Linked DNA regions of Tribolium castaneum. The protein of the gene in region 2 purifies or fractionates together with the protein of the main gene of each other region. This does not show direct contact. Links are inferred from orthologs where the notes say so. Each region holds a gene or a part of one and is shown on either strand. Other genes may lie near its edges.

Region 1 (6,451 bases), about 6.3 Mb from region 2:
GTTCCGGGCGACTACCAAACTGACCCCCCTCACTGTCACGGGTGCTCCGCCCCCGGCTATCACTACGGGGGCCACTACCCGGACCACTACGCAGGGTACAGTTCCGAGTACAGTTGCACCACCATGTACGGTTACGGCACTGATTACGCTTACGATAACCCGAGCAGTATAAGTAGCCACAGTGGCTCACGCACCCCCCAAAGACTGCCGCAGGGGCACAGACGGACCCCGTCCAATGTCTCAAACAGCTCGACTACGACAAGTGGCTCAAACGTCAACCCGAGCTTCAAGCTGGAAGATGAGGGGAGTTACACATCTGGTTACCTGCGGCGGTACGACTACGACTACAGCGCCTACTCGCGGCAGAACTCGCAAGAGTCGAACTTCGAGCGTCCAACCACGTTGGAGACTTCGGGTTTTACGAAGTTACGCTCGAGTTTGAAGCGGAATAATTACCAGGCGAGTCAGGGCCACTCTGGGGGGAATACCCCGACGAATCCAACGCCGCCTGATAGTCTGACGAGTGACGATAGTTCGTACGTTTCGGCGAAGGATAGTAATAGTTCTGTAAGTCGCGTTAGGTTTTCGCCAACGACGCTCATTGATTTGCCCGTTCCGAGGCAAAATCAGGACCCGACGGTGCCGCTGCAAGCGAGGAGGTCGCGGCAGAAGCAGGCGGATAAGGAGTTTTGGTCATAACCTTTGTGGCTTACGTAATTTTCAGACTTGTTTAAGGGTTGAATCGGTTACAATTGAAATTATTGTTAGCAATATTGAGTATTTAATACTAGCCAATAAAGTGATTTGTGTGATGTTGGGCGGGAAGGGGGCGCCAACACTTCGAAGCTTGCGATAAATAAGAAATCGCTTTCAAGTTTAACATGCGTAGCCAGTCCATTCTGTTTAAAAGAAAAAAAAAACTGAAAAAATACACAAGATTAAAGTTCGAAAGCTGTCGTTATGCAACGAGCGCATGCGAGTTTCGTACCTAGACACCCGAAAACTTAAGCGTATAAGTGTTATTAAATTTTTGTTTGTTGGACATTTTAATTTAAAACACGTTGCTATCAGCAACATGTTTTAAAATATATAATCTACGATGCAGATATTAAAAAGGATTAAAATGTTACCAACAAAAAATATGTTTTTTTGTTAAATCTTCCTTATCTTTAAATGTACTTAAAATGTTATTCCGACCTGATTTATCAAGCCTCGGGCGTGAGCGCCCCGCCCCCCTACAATAATGTATTCCTAGTCTAATTTGTGTATATTTATTATATTTTGTATTTAATTCGGCAAGTGTTAACTCTGTACGATGCGTATTTGGCTGTAAATTTTATTGTATGTGTTATACGTATGGTTGTTTGCGAGACTAACAGACTTCACTCGTGTGTGGTCTGCTGGCCTCAATCCTGCTCAATCACTGAATTTGAATTATCGGTGAAGACTCATAATGATATATCAACATTTCACAATCCATAGTGCCTGATTATGCAGCTTAGACGTACAAGTGATAAGAACATTATTAGTCATTTTGGTGCAATTTATTTAAAATGTTTTTTGTTGATAGAAGGAAACTCATTGCTGCTGCCTTAATAATAATGAATAGAATGTGAATTTATCAGTTTTATACCCCGAGGTGGTGGAAATTGACAGTTTTTTGACTTTTGAAAAAGACTGGCTTAAACATTCCGATGTATATCATCACATTTTGGCTCTGCTTAGTCATACGCCTGTTGATAATTGTAAATGAAATGACCAACTTTATTAATTTGTATAAATAATAACAAGATTTTTATTAATTAACGTACTCAGTTCTTAATGTTAGTAAGGGAAAAAGTATTATAATGTATTATATTCGTGCGGAACTTCCTCGTAACGATTGTCATATTGAGTTAAAGGGAAGGTTCGCACTATTCAAGTACATGTGGCCATTGTATTTTTAACAATTACGAGGTTCAGTATTGGATAAAGTGTACATAAACTATACATATTGTAGTTTTAGCTGATAACACGTGGCTTCCACATTGTGAAAATCATGTTATATTTATTGAAGAAATGAAGACCTTTGTATCATACATTCCAAATTTCTTTTCGTGAGAAATTATTACTCAATACTCATTTGTGTGAATTGTAAACGACTCAATAGAATTTATAAAACTAATGTCTTTTCTTGAGCAAAGATTAATAAATCACTACAAGTATTAAGTATTTTTTTATTAACCAAAATTTACAATAATTATAAATTATGGTATTGAAACGGCTTCAATACGAGTAATGGGTATCTACAAACTTAATGTTGTGAATATGATTATTATGTCTAAAACTGGAATCACACAATTATTATTTTGATTGTGAAGAATCATCATCGGTGGACATGTCAGTGCGACTCCAGACCATTCATTAATTTCACTATGAAACACACAAGTAAAAAACCCAACGGTACAAACGGTTCTAGTCTTGTCACCAATACAGTCATTAAATCGAATTACAACGTACCGCAAGGTGAGTAAAAAACTGTCAAAAATAAAATTCAATTCCGAAATAATTCACAACAATTCCAAGCGAAAATATACAAAGAGAAAGCAAAGAGATGTAAATAAAACATAATAAAACAATTAGTTACCAGTCCTGAGGTACGACATACCACAAAAATCAACAACCTATGCGACAATTTCATTAAAACACTTTTTAACCGGATGATACAGTCAGCACTTGCACACTAAGACACCGGTTAATTCCCTGCAAAGTTGTAGGCGCAGATTGAACGGCGGTCATCAGTTGCTGTTGCAGTTGTCTTGGTCTTGGGACACGTGATTGCTCTCGCTGGGGGACGCCGACGCCGGTTTAAAATCGGCGGCGAACGGAAAACGGTTATGGCATTTCTTTATGTAATCCTCTAATTGAGCGTCGCAACTTCCGAAGTCGCCTCGTCGCAAAGCCTCCGCCACATTCACGCAGTTCTGAAAAGGCAACAACTTTTTTCCATCCTAAGATTACATAAATAAAGCAATCCGGCCAGTAATTAAACGGTGAAAACGAAATTTAAGTATTTAACAGTTTCGGATTGTTTTATTTCTTTTCAAAATACTTTAACTAAAAAACAAAATAATTGGATAAGTGTACGACAAGAAATGTTACAAGGTTTAAAATAATTAAGAAAACAGTGACTACATAACAGATAAGGTACGTTAAACAAAAAATAAGAGGAAAATAAAAATCCATTCTCAACCCAAACCATATTTTTTATATAAAACATGCAGTCTTCTTCAGATTAAGCATCTTCTTTACAATAGAAAATTTCCCAAAAGAAGGCGAAAAACCACGCAAGTGTTGTCTTTTTCCAATAATTTTGTACATTTAAAAAACTTTTTTTCTTGTAATTTCCCTCAAACAGACCGAACAAAGGCAAATTTAGATTGCTTTTGCTTTTTTTTTGATCGTTCTAGTATGTTTTTCAGCCAAAAACGTTCTTTTTGGCATAAATTTCTTAGATGAAACAGTCATTACCTACCTTTTTCGATAGATTTTTGAGCGTTCCTAGTACTCTTTCAGTCAAAAACGTTCGTTTTAGCATAAATTCCTTAGAAGCGGCCAATGATGAAAGACATTACCTTTTTCGGTGAATTTATTTTTATTATTTTGAGAAAAAAAAATCAAAATAGATCAAAATGGACGTTCTTTTGACCCATTTATGAACAAAAAAACTTTTTTAATTCGCGAAATTTCGTTAAAATAGCTCATAAAATGTCTTAATTGCCTTACTTTGAGCTAAAAAACTCGTGCTTTAACAATATCCATCTAATAAGGCGAAAAACTTCCCATGAAGGTCAAAAATGATGCTATTTGATCTGTTACGCTAGATTTAGTGCGTTTGGAAGTGTTTTTCTTTTGCGGAATTGTGTTAAAAATGCCGAACAAACACGTAATTATTATTTTTGTCTTTTTAAAATGCTTGAACACATTTTTCAAGTAAAAAAGCTCTCTCGTCGAAGTTTTTTCAAATCCACAATCCACCGCAAGTTCACCAATGGAAGAGTGAACATTACACTATTTTTGCCCTTTTTCCAGGATTTTTGGCACATTTTTATTGTCAAAAACAATTATTTCAGATATTTTTTTAGAATAGACCTTAAATAAGGACTTACCTTGTATTGCAAACTCACTTATTGCATAAAATTTCGTCAAAACATTTCAAATTAGAAAAGAATCAACGTACTTTTGGTTGGTTTAGGATGATTTGTCAGCCAGACACTCATTTTTTTTGGCAAAATTCCGTAAAACAGGCCCAAAAGTTTCTTAACAACGTCGAAAATTAAAACATATTTTGCGCAAGGACGAAGCTTGAATCAACTTTAGGACGAAATTAAAAACAAGGTTGAAATAAAGAATGGTTTAAAAGTTCAATTCCAAAGAATTTAAACTAAACTGGAGGTTTCATATACGTAAATTATTACTATATTCAATTAATGAAATCTGCCCTAAGTTCTGACACCGCTTGTTTGCTGTTCAAATTGGATTGCAGATTGTAAAAAGTATTTGTAAAGAAATTAAATAAATAAATTAAGAAAATTAAAGAAATTAAAAAAAAATAAATCAAGGAAATTGTTATAGAACATAAACACCCTTCAAAAATAACCACATTCGTTTGAATTTTTCAGTAATTATCAAAAGAAATTAGTCGGTTAAAGTTGCAATTTGGCTTTTACCGAGTAATTTTTTTAGCTAATCGTTTCGTTGAATTGTCTTACTTGTAGGGTGACATCCTCGTATTTATTGTCTAGATTGGTGACCAGACTGAGAGCAGTGCTTTGTGTCTTGTTGTCGAGATAGAACATCATTCGACAGCATTCGAGTACGGCTTCTAAACTATGCGAGTGCGCCTCTAGGAATTCTTTATTGAGCTGTTTGGCGTCTTTTCCTTTAAACAAAATTTGCACTTCTTTGGTCACCACTTGTTCAACGGCCGGATCCCACGAGTTTTTATTTTGTTCGATCACTTCGTAAAATCTGATCAGGCAACTGTGTAGCTTTGGATTCTGCGGTGCGATTTGATGAGCCCTTTTCAAGGACTGCAACATCAACAGAACTTTTTCTAAAACAACAACAACTCAATAAAACTGTAGCCATCACACACCCACTCACTTTTCCGATAATAAACCTCAAACGCCATTAAATGGGTTTCTATTCGATTTTTTGCTAATTTTTGAAGGGGTTGGAGGAACTTGATGGCTTGTTCGAGCGGATCTTCGACCTGAAATTACCCACAAACAACAAATTTATAGTTAATTACCTTGGTTTTTTACCCGTGCCAGCTTATCGGGGATTAGTTCGTCTAACTGAGGTGCATCCGCTTCTACATCCCCTTGCTGGCGTGATTTATGGTGGTGGTCACGTTTCACTTGCGCTTCTCTTGCTTGAGCACTCTCTTGTTCCGCCTTCCTGCGAGCTTTTCGCTGCTTGTTCCGCAATTTCTTCAATTCGGAAGGTGCCAAATTTTCTAAAAAATAACCAAATTGCTAGCAACCTTGCGACACTTAATTACTAACGATTGTTTCAAACCGGCGGCACTTCCCTCTTTCACGACACGACCTAACAATAGTTAGTTCGAAGGTTAAAATGTAATAATTATCAAAGGAATTTGACACCCCGGGCTTTCCTACTATATGCGGGGGAGAATTTTATTGTTATTTTAAAACGAAACTTGTTCAATAAAACTCTTAATCAAGTTAAGTAAAGCCCATTAAAGTTGGGTTCACTCTTCACCTACACCGTAGGCACCTACAGCCACTTTGCCCAAATAAGGGAAGCGTTATGTCATCGCAGTTTTCGTAGGTAGATTATTATTTAAATTGTTTATTGTAGCCCAGAGGGATGCTTCCGCTTTCGTTCTTGACGAAAGTTTCCCTTGTCAAGAAATCAAATCGTTTGACTGACAGGTGGCTATTGTAAACTAAAGCGTTTCCATTATGTTACTTAACGAATTGTTACAACATTAAAGAAGTGATGTGTGTGTGTGCTATTACTTCGCCAAAACAAGAATTTTAAAGCTATTTTGTTTCTTGTTTAAATGCAATTTGGCATTGTTTTCTTGCCGAAACCGGCATATCAACTCCCACAACACCGATAACAACAAACTTTCCTTGATCCAGTTCTTTAAGGACATTTTTATTAGTCATTATTAATTCAATTAGCACAAGCGTATAAAAAAGAAAAATAAATTTGATTTATCTTTACGCAAGTTCGTGTTTTGTTTCAATTAGTAAAATTCTTGAGTCAATTGTAAGGTGTAGTTAAATGATTTCCTGAGGGGCTTAGTAGTTTGTTTCAAATTAAAATGTGTTAGCAAAAAATTTATTCTCCGGAGGAAATGGTTTAATGTGGACAACTTTTTTCCAATCCTAAGATAATGTTTCATCAGTCATGAATATGCGTTGTTTTAATTTTAATT
Region 2 (5,981 bases):
CACAAACCTATTGGAATCAAACCGTTGGTGTTTTCCTGCGTACGCCTCAAAAGCCCCGTTATCACCTCAGAGACAGTCCCATCGCCCCCAGCCACAACCACAGCATCAGTCCCGTTTAAATCATTGATAAGAGTCCTGGCGTGCCCCTCTGACTCTGTCCTAACAACATTGACACAAATTCCAGCCAAATGCAACAGGGGGGCGCAATATTTCTCAAATTCATCACCAGCTTTACGCTTATTGGCATTGGGGTTGAGAATTACCGTAACGTTACGGGGGTCAGCCTCCACACGAATTGGTTCAAGACCAAATCTTGCCGCCTTTTCGCAATAAACACGCATCAATTCTTGGGTCCTAACATAAAATTTGAGGGGGCTAATGTGAGGTTATGTCACTCACTCGAAACGTTCCTTGGCGTATTCAAAGCCGTACAGTAGGGCCACGGCTGCAAACGTTGACTTCTTCCAATGATTGCGTAAAGTTTTTGCCGTTTTTAGTACAAAAGTCATGTTTTGTTTAAATTTATTAGCATAACCTCAAATTTGACTAATGGAATGGTTCAAGGACAAGACGGCGCGTAATTTGAAAATTGCCGTAAATTAGAGAATTTGCAATTTCCTGGATTGTTAGGCGTCGTAATTGGTAAATTATTTAGTTTGTGTGAAAAATGCGGTTGATAACTGTGGTCTTGTTCCTTGTTTTAGCCCAAATCGAAGCCAAAACGTATTATTTTAATTTGAATAAAACTACAAATGAGTTCATGGTTCGGAATCGTGTCAATTTTAATCAAACGAATTATCCCGCAATTCAAATAAGTGAACTCAGGAATAATAGGAACGTCACACGTAAAACTGCCACAAATACGAATGTAATAATAATGTTGTAGTACTAGTAAATTAGAAAAAAAATTGTTTTAGGGCACTAAACCCTACATTCACCCACTTTTAGACTCCGAATGGAACTACAATTGGACCAACATCACCCGAAATAAACTACCATCATACATTTACAAATATTACGAAGCATATTCGCAAAATGTGGCAGCTCCTGTTCACATTCTCTTCAACGCAAATCCGCTAAATTCAACCATAATCAAATTTAATTCGAGTAAATTGGACGTTGCGGAGGTTGAGTTACATTTCTACCACAAAGTTGAGGCCAATTTGACACAAAAATCGCTAATTTTGCGCCTTTATCAAGTCGAAAATGATATCAATGAAACGGCTTTGATAAATCCAGATTCACACAAACTGCTCAATGTGATTTACATTTATCAAGCTGAAAGTGGCTGGCAGGTAACAATTATATTGAATTTTCATTCAACACTTAAATCATCGCCAGGTGTTTAAATTAACCAAATCGTTGCATAATTGGATAAAAAAAACAACGGATTTGTCGATATTTATCACAATTTCGAAACCAAACGACGAACAATTTAATCTTTTTAACGACAGTAATAGAAACGCGTTTAGGACTTTTCTTATATTAAAATCAGAATCGCCGAGAAGTGATGGTAAGTTATTTTTTCTAAGTTACATAATTTAGGCACAAAACACTTGGCTCCATATTTTCGCCCAACCCTGTATGTTTATTGTATTGTAGGAACAAATGATGAAATTACCGAAAGTAACGCTTGCAGAAGACATGATTTATACGTCGACTTCCAAAAACTCAACTGGATGAAATTTATTATATCACCAGCTGGTTATAACGCCTACAATTGCCACGGCACGTGTTATCAAACCCACCACTTACCAAACCATCACAAAACCACAAATTTCTTTCCTGAACTGGGGCGTAAAAGTCCCTGTTGTGGCCCCACAAAATACGCTCCTCTCCCTATAATGTTTTACGATAGATTTGGCAATGTTATGATCAAGTTTTACGACGAAATGGTAATTTCGGCATGTGGTTGCAGATAAACAGATTTAACGCAAACGATGACTTTATTAAACAATTATACAATGTGTTTGAAATTAAAAAATACTGTAACAAAAAAATCAATCATGCAATGTGTTTTACTCAGCGTTTCCGTTGCTTTGTCCTTTTTTCCTCAGAGTTTTTTGTAAAACGTGAGCGTCTGCCGGTTCTATTCTTTTGTAGTAATGTTCTTTAGTTTCGACGATTTCGAAACCGAATTTTTTGTAGAAATCAATCGCTCCTTCGTTGTTTACTTGCACGTGGCTAAAAGAACGTGTTATTGGGTTTAATATAAAAAAAAACTCTTACAGGAATATGCTATCAAAATTGCCATCCTGTTCCACGTAATATAAGACATGTTGGACCATTAATGTACCTATTCCAAGTCTACGGTAAGGGTACAAACAGCCTAAAGTCATGATGTACAAACGACGAGATTTTTCCGACGTATCAATTCGACAACACACAGCACCAACCACTATATCATTGTAATAGGCTAATTTAGCCAATTCACCCGCCTCTAACACATCTTTGTAGAATTTATCGTTATAAGAGACGGGAAAAACCACGCTGTTTAAGCGCTTTAGTTGTTTAATATTATGTGGGGTTACGTTACCTAATTCGATATTAGCTCTGAAACACACACGTGTAGCTGCTAAGTTAATACTAATTACATCACTCACCTTGTCATTTTATCGCCAAATTCTCACAAAATAACCACGAATTTAACCACAAAATTGCGCTTTTTGAAAGAAACGTCAAAAATGATGGTCGATGGAAGTGGCGATGGTGGTGGAAGTGTCTAACATACCGACGCAACGCGCACCCCCCCCAATTTTTAAATAAATACTTAATTTCATAAAAAATTAAACCCCGACCCGTATTTTAAAACGGGCAAACAAAGTGAAATTAAATTTAAATACGATAATGACGGTGCCGTGCCTTTGAAGTTACAAAGCGCCAAAAAAGACCGCCAACCTTGACGAGAAAAATTACCCGAATTGATGCAAATTTTGGCAAATCTGGGCCAAATTTTGTGGAGATTTGCCCCAAATCTAAATATTTCTGTGTTTTTATTAAGATAATGTAAGTTTTGTCGTGAAATTTCGTGTTGAAGTTAGGGTCGTGGTTTTTGTAAGGTTGGTGATAGTCGTAGTGAAGTTTGAGAGGTTGATGTGTTTTCTGGAAAAGCGTCCCCAAAATATTGGAAAAAAAAAGTAAATAAAAGTGTAAATAATGCAAAAAACGGGTGAAGACGATGTTAGTAAATGGTAGCCAAACGGCCCTAATCAAGGTGGTGATTAAAATTTCAAAGGCGCTCCCCCAACATCATCAATTTTTCATTTTTAATTGGTTCTAATATTGTCCACGATGGCTGAATCAAATATTTATTACAACGAGGGCAATTATATGAATCAGCAAGACGCTACCACCAAGGATGTGATTGATTCAGTTCAGAATCTGAATGAGCAGAGTGAAATGATTTGTGATGATTCTGTAACAGAAACAGTGGAAGAATCGAAGGATGAAGTTAAAGAAGTTGCTGAAGGCACTGAAGAACATGTAGAGAGTCCAACAACTGGGGAAACTTCTTACACCTTCAAGTGTGTCTTTTGTGAGCAGGTATTGAGTGGTAGTGACGAACCCAAATTATTGGAGTGTTTGCATAATGCTTGTGGTAACTGCATTGGTAACAAGCTTTACGAAGAGTTGGAGAAAAGTACGCCAATAAATCGTAATAATCAATAAGTCAATATTTTATTTCAGCTACTGTTGAATGTCCACAGTGCAATATAGTATGTGAGCCAAGTAAAATAATCGAAAATCAGTTTTTGCTAGAGCTAGCAAGTAACGAAGACAACTCGACCAAATTAGCAGAGTTGAAATGTAGCAGTTGTAGTGATGATGCAATTGCTACAAGTTGGTGTGTTGATTGTTCAGAGTACATTTGTGATAGTTGTGTACAAGCACATCAAAGGTATTTTATTCATTCAAATCAATTGATTTTTAATTTTTAATTACTCTAGACTAAAAATAACTAAAGACCATACCATTAAACCGAAAGAAGAGGGACTTACTGACAGCCAATCATCTACAAATAATTCTGCACCTAATCTATTTTGTCAGATTCATCCACAGGAGAAATTGTCACTATTTTGCGAAACGTGCGATAAATTAACTTGTCGCGATTGCCAACTTATTGAACATAGGGAACACAAGTATAAATTTACCAATGAAATTGCGTCAGAGACAAGAAAATTTATTGCTGATATGTTGAAGGATGTTGGGTACGTATAAAAAAATTAGGTAATTTTTTTGGGCAAAAAATCACGATAAATAAATAATGTCACAATTATTATTATTATGTGAAATTTCTCAGAGTGAGAAAATTGCGAGTTATTTGAGTTAATTTTGTTAACATTTGAGTAAACCCATTTTTTTTCAAATCGTCAAAGAAAAAAATATGAGAGAATGGGTATTAATTAATTTTCGCAATATATTTTTCAGTTACAAGAGGGCACTATTATGTAGTGCGATGAAGGTAATAGACGATCGTCAAAATTTGATTGTTGACAAAAAACAAGCACTTGTTAAGGAAATCACACAATTAGTGGTCAAGTAATTGATTATTACAATTTATAGATTAAATGTATAATTAATTTTTTTGGAAGGTTGACAAATACGATTAATGTTAGAGGCAAACAATTAGTTTCGAAATTAACCGAAGTGTGTGATAGTAAACAAAAGACGTTACAAGAGAAAAAACAAGCTTTAGAGCAACTTTCACGTATGACAGATCACTGTATAGAGTTCACACAACATGCTTTAGATAACGGCAGTGATATGGCTCTATTATACAGTAAAAAACAAGTCACCGATCACTTACGTCGAATCAAATGTAAACGAGCCGATATTCCAAATCCAGAAATACCGGTACGAATTCATCTGGCTTTGGATAAATTTCCAGATCTTGTTAAAGGTAAGTGTTTGTCTTGACTCAAATGCTTGGACTAAATTTTTGCTTAATTTTTTGTGCTTTCATTGGTAGGTTTATCAACAGGTAATTTGTTTTGGTTTATTTATTTATTTTTTATATTAAAGTAGGTTGTGGAAGTCATTAATGTCATTTAGATCAAATTTCAGTCACAGACGACTTTAATTATTTGAAATCATGGTACTTTTCAGTCATGTCAACAATCGGTCAAATTGTGGTTGATGGTAGAATTTACCCTTCACAGTCCGTCTCACCCTCATCTCAATTACCTCCACATGGTTCTCCCAGTCCTGGTCATTCCAGACCACCCCAACAACAATCACCCATCAATCAATTGCTCCAACAATCACCTCCTTACCAACAACAACCATCAGGGTTCCAACAATCACCCAGATTACCCCCAGCATATGGACAGTTTAACAATGGGCCGCAGTATCCACAAAATCAAAATATTAGCCCACAATCCAATATGGGTAAGTCTGCGTTAATTTTTATCGCAAAGGTTCTAACTGAATTTTTTACAATTTTTCGATCACCTAAAATATTTATCATAAAATATAACAAGCATAATGATAAACAAATAACTACACTAGATACTAATATTTTTTTAAGTAAACGGTTCAACCATTAAGGGAAATAATAGGAAGCTATCTACACATGGTTATGGTTTTAAAAATACTTTTCTGTCAATAAATGTTACACAGTTTTAAAGTTACAAAGTTTATTTTTAATAAGAAATGGTTTTATACAGATTTTCATAAAGTTATTTTAATCGTCGTTATTTTATAACTAACCAAAAATTATTCTAATTGTGAAAAAACAGTTTGCTTTTCTTTGGTAGTTTCAATCTAAAATCATTTGACTACATTTCATTAGACTTTCTTCCTTCAACTTTTTTTAGACAATCTATAAATGAAGGAGGAAGAAACGCCCACTTTTTGCTTGTGTGAATATTTCATTGTAACACGCTGTATATTTTTATTCTTTGACTAAAAATTGATTAACTAGTGCTCCAACAAGGATTAATTTCCACATAATTTTAATAAAAAATGCAGTTAGATCTTTA

The links. Proteins that work in one complex are often made in the same cells at the same time.
Region 1: the proteins of san (region 2) and Naa15-16 purify together in Drosophila melanogaster (affinity purification with mass spectrometry, with the first as the bait; 3 studies listed by BioGRID). This does not show direct contact. The link is inferred for Tribolium castaneum from reciprocal best matches to the Drosophila melanogaster genes san and Naa15-16.

Annotation. Positions count from the first base shown.
Region 1 is NC_087402.1:6,528,279-6,534,729, reverse strand, and holds the end of Naa15-16 (N-alpha-acetyltransferase 16, NatA auxiliary subunit), read right to left. Parts: intron 5,501-6,451; coding exon 5,307-5,500; intron 5,255-5,306; coding exon 5,146-5,254; intron 5,096-5,145; coding exon 4,752-5,095; intron 2,979-4,751; coding exon 2,778-2,978; 3' UTR 2,203-2,777; downstream 1-2,202. Other genes in the region: mitogen-activated protein kinase kinase kinase 11, read left to right, coding at 1-699.
Region 2 is NC_087402.1:194,484-200,464, forward strand, and holds san (probable N-acetyltransferase san), read right to left. Parts: upstream 2,763-5,981; 5' UTR 2,612-2,762; coding exon 2,604-2,611; intron 2,554-2,603; coding exon 2,230-2,553; intron 2,185-2,229; coding exon 2,019-2,184; 3' UTR 1,928-2,018; downstream 1-1,927. Other genes in the region: E3 ubiquitin-protein ligase TRIM33, read left to right, coding at 185-380, 3,274-3,640, 3,688-3,898, 3,948-4,208, 4,429-4,539, 4,593-4,900, 5,107-5,388; Mulk (acylglycerol kinase, mitochondrial), read right to left, coding at 8-354, 400-509; derriere protein, read left to right, coding at 668-868, 918-1,295, 1,342-1,513, 1,603-1,922. UniProt on the Drosophila melanogaster protein: N-alpha-acetyltransferase that acetylates the N-terminus of proteins that retain their initiating methionine. Has a broad substrate specificity: able to acetylate the initiator methionine of most peptides.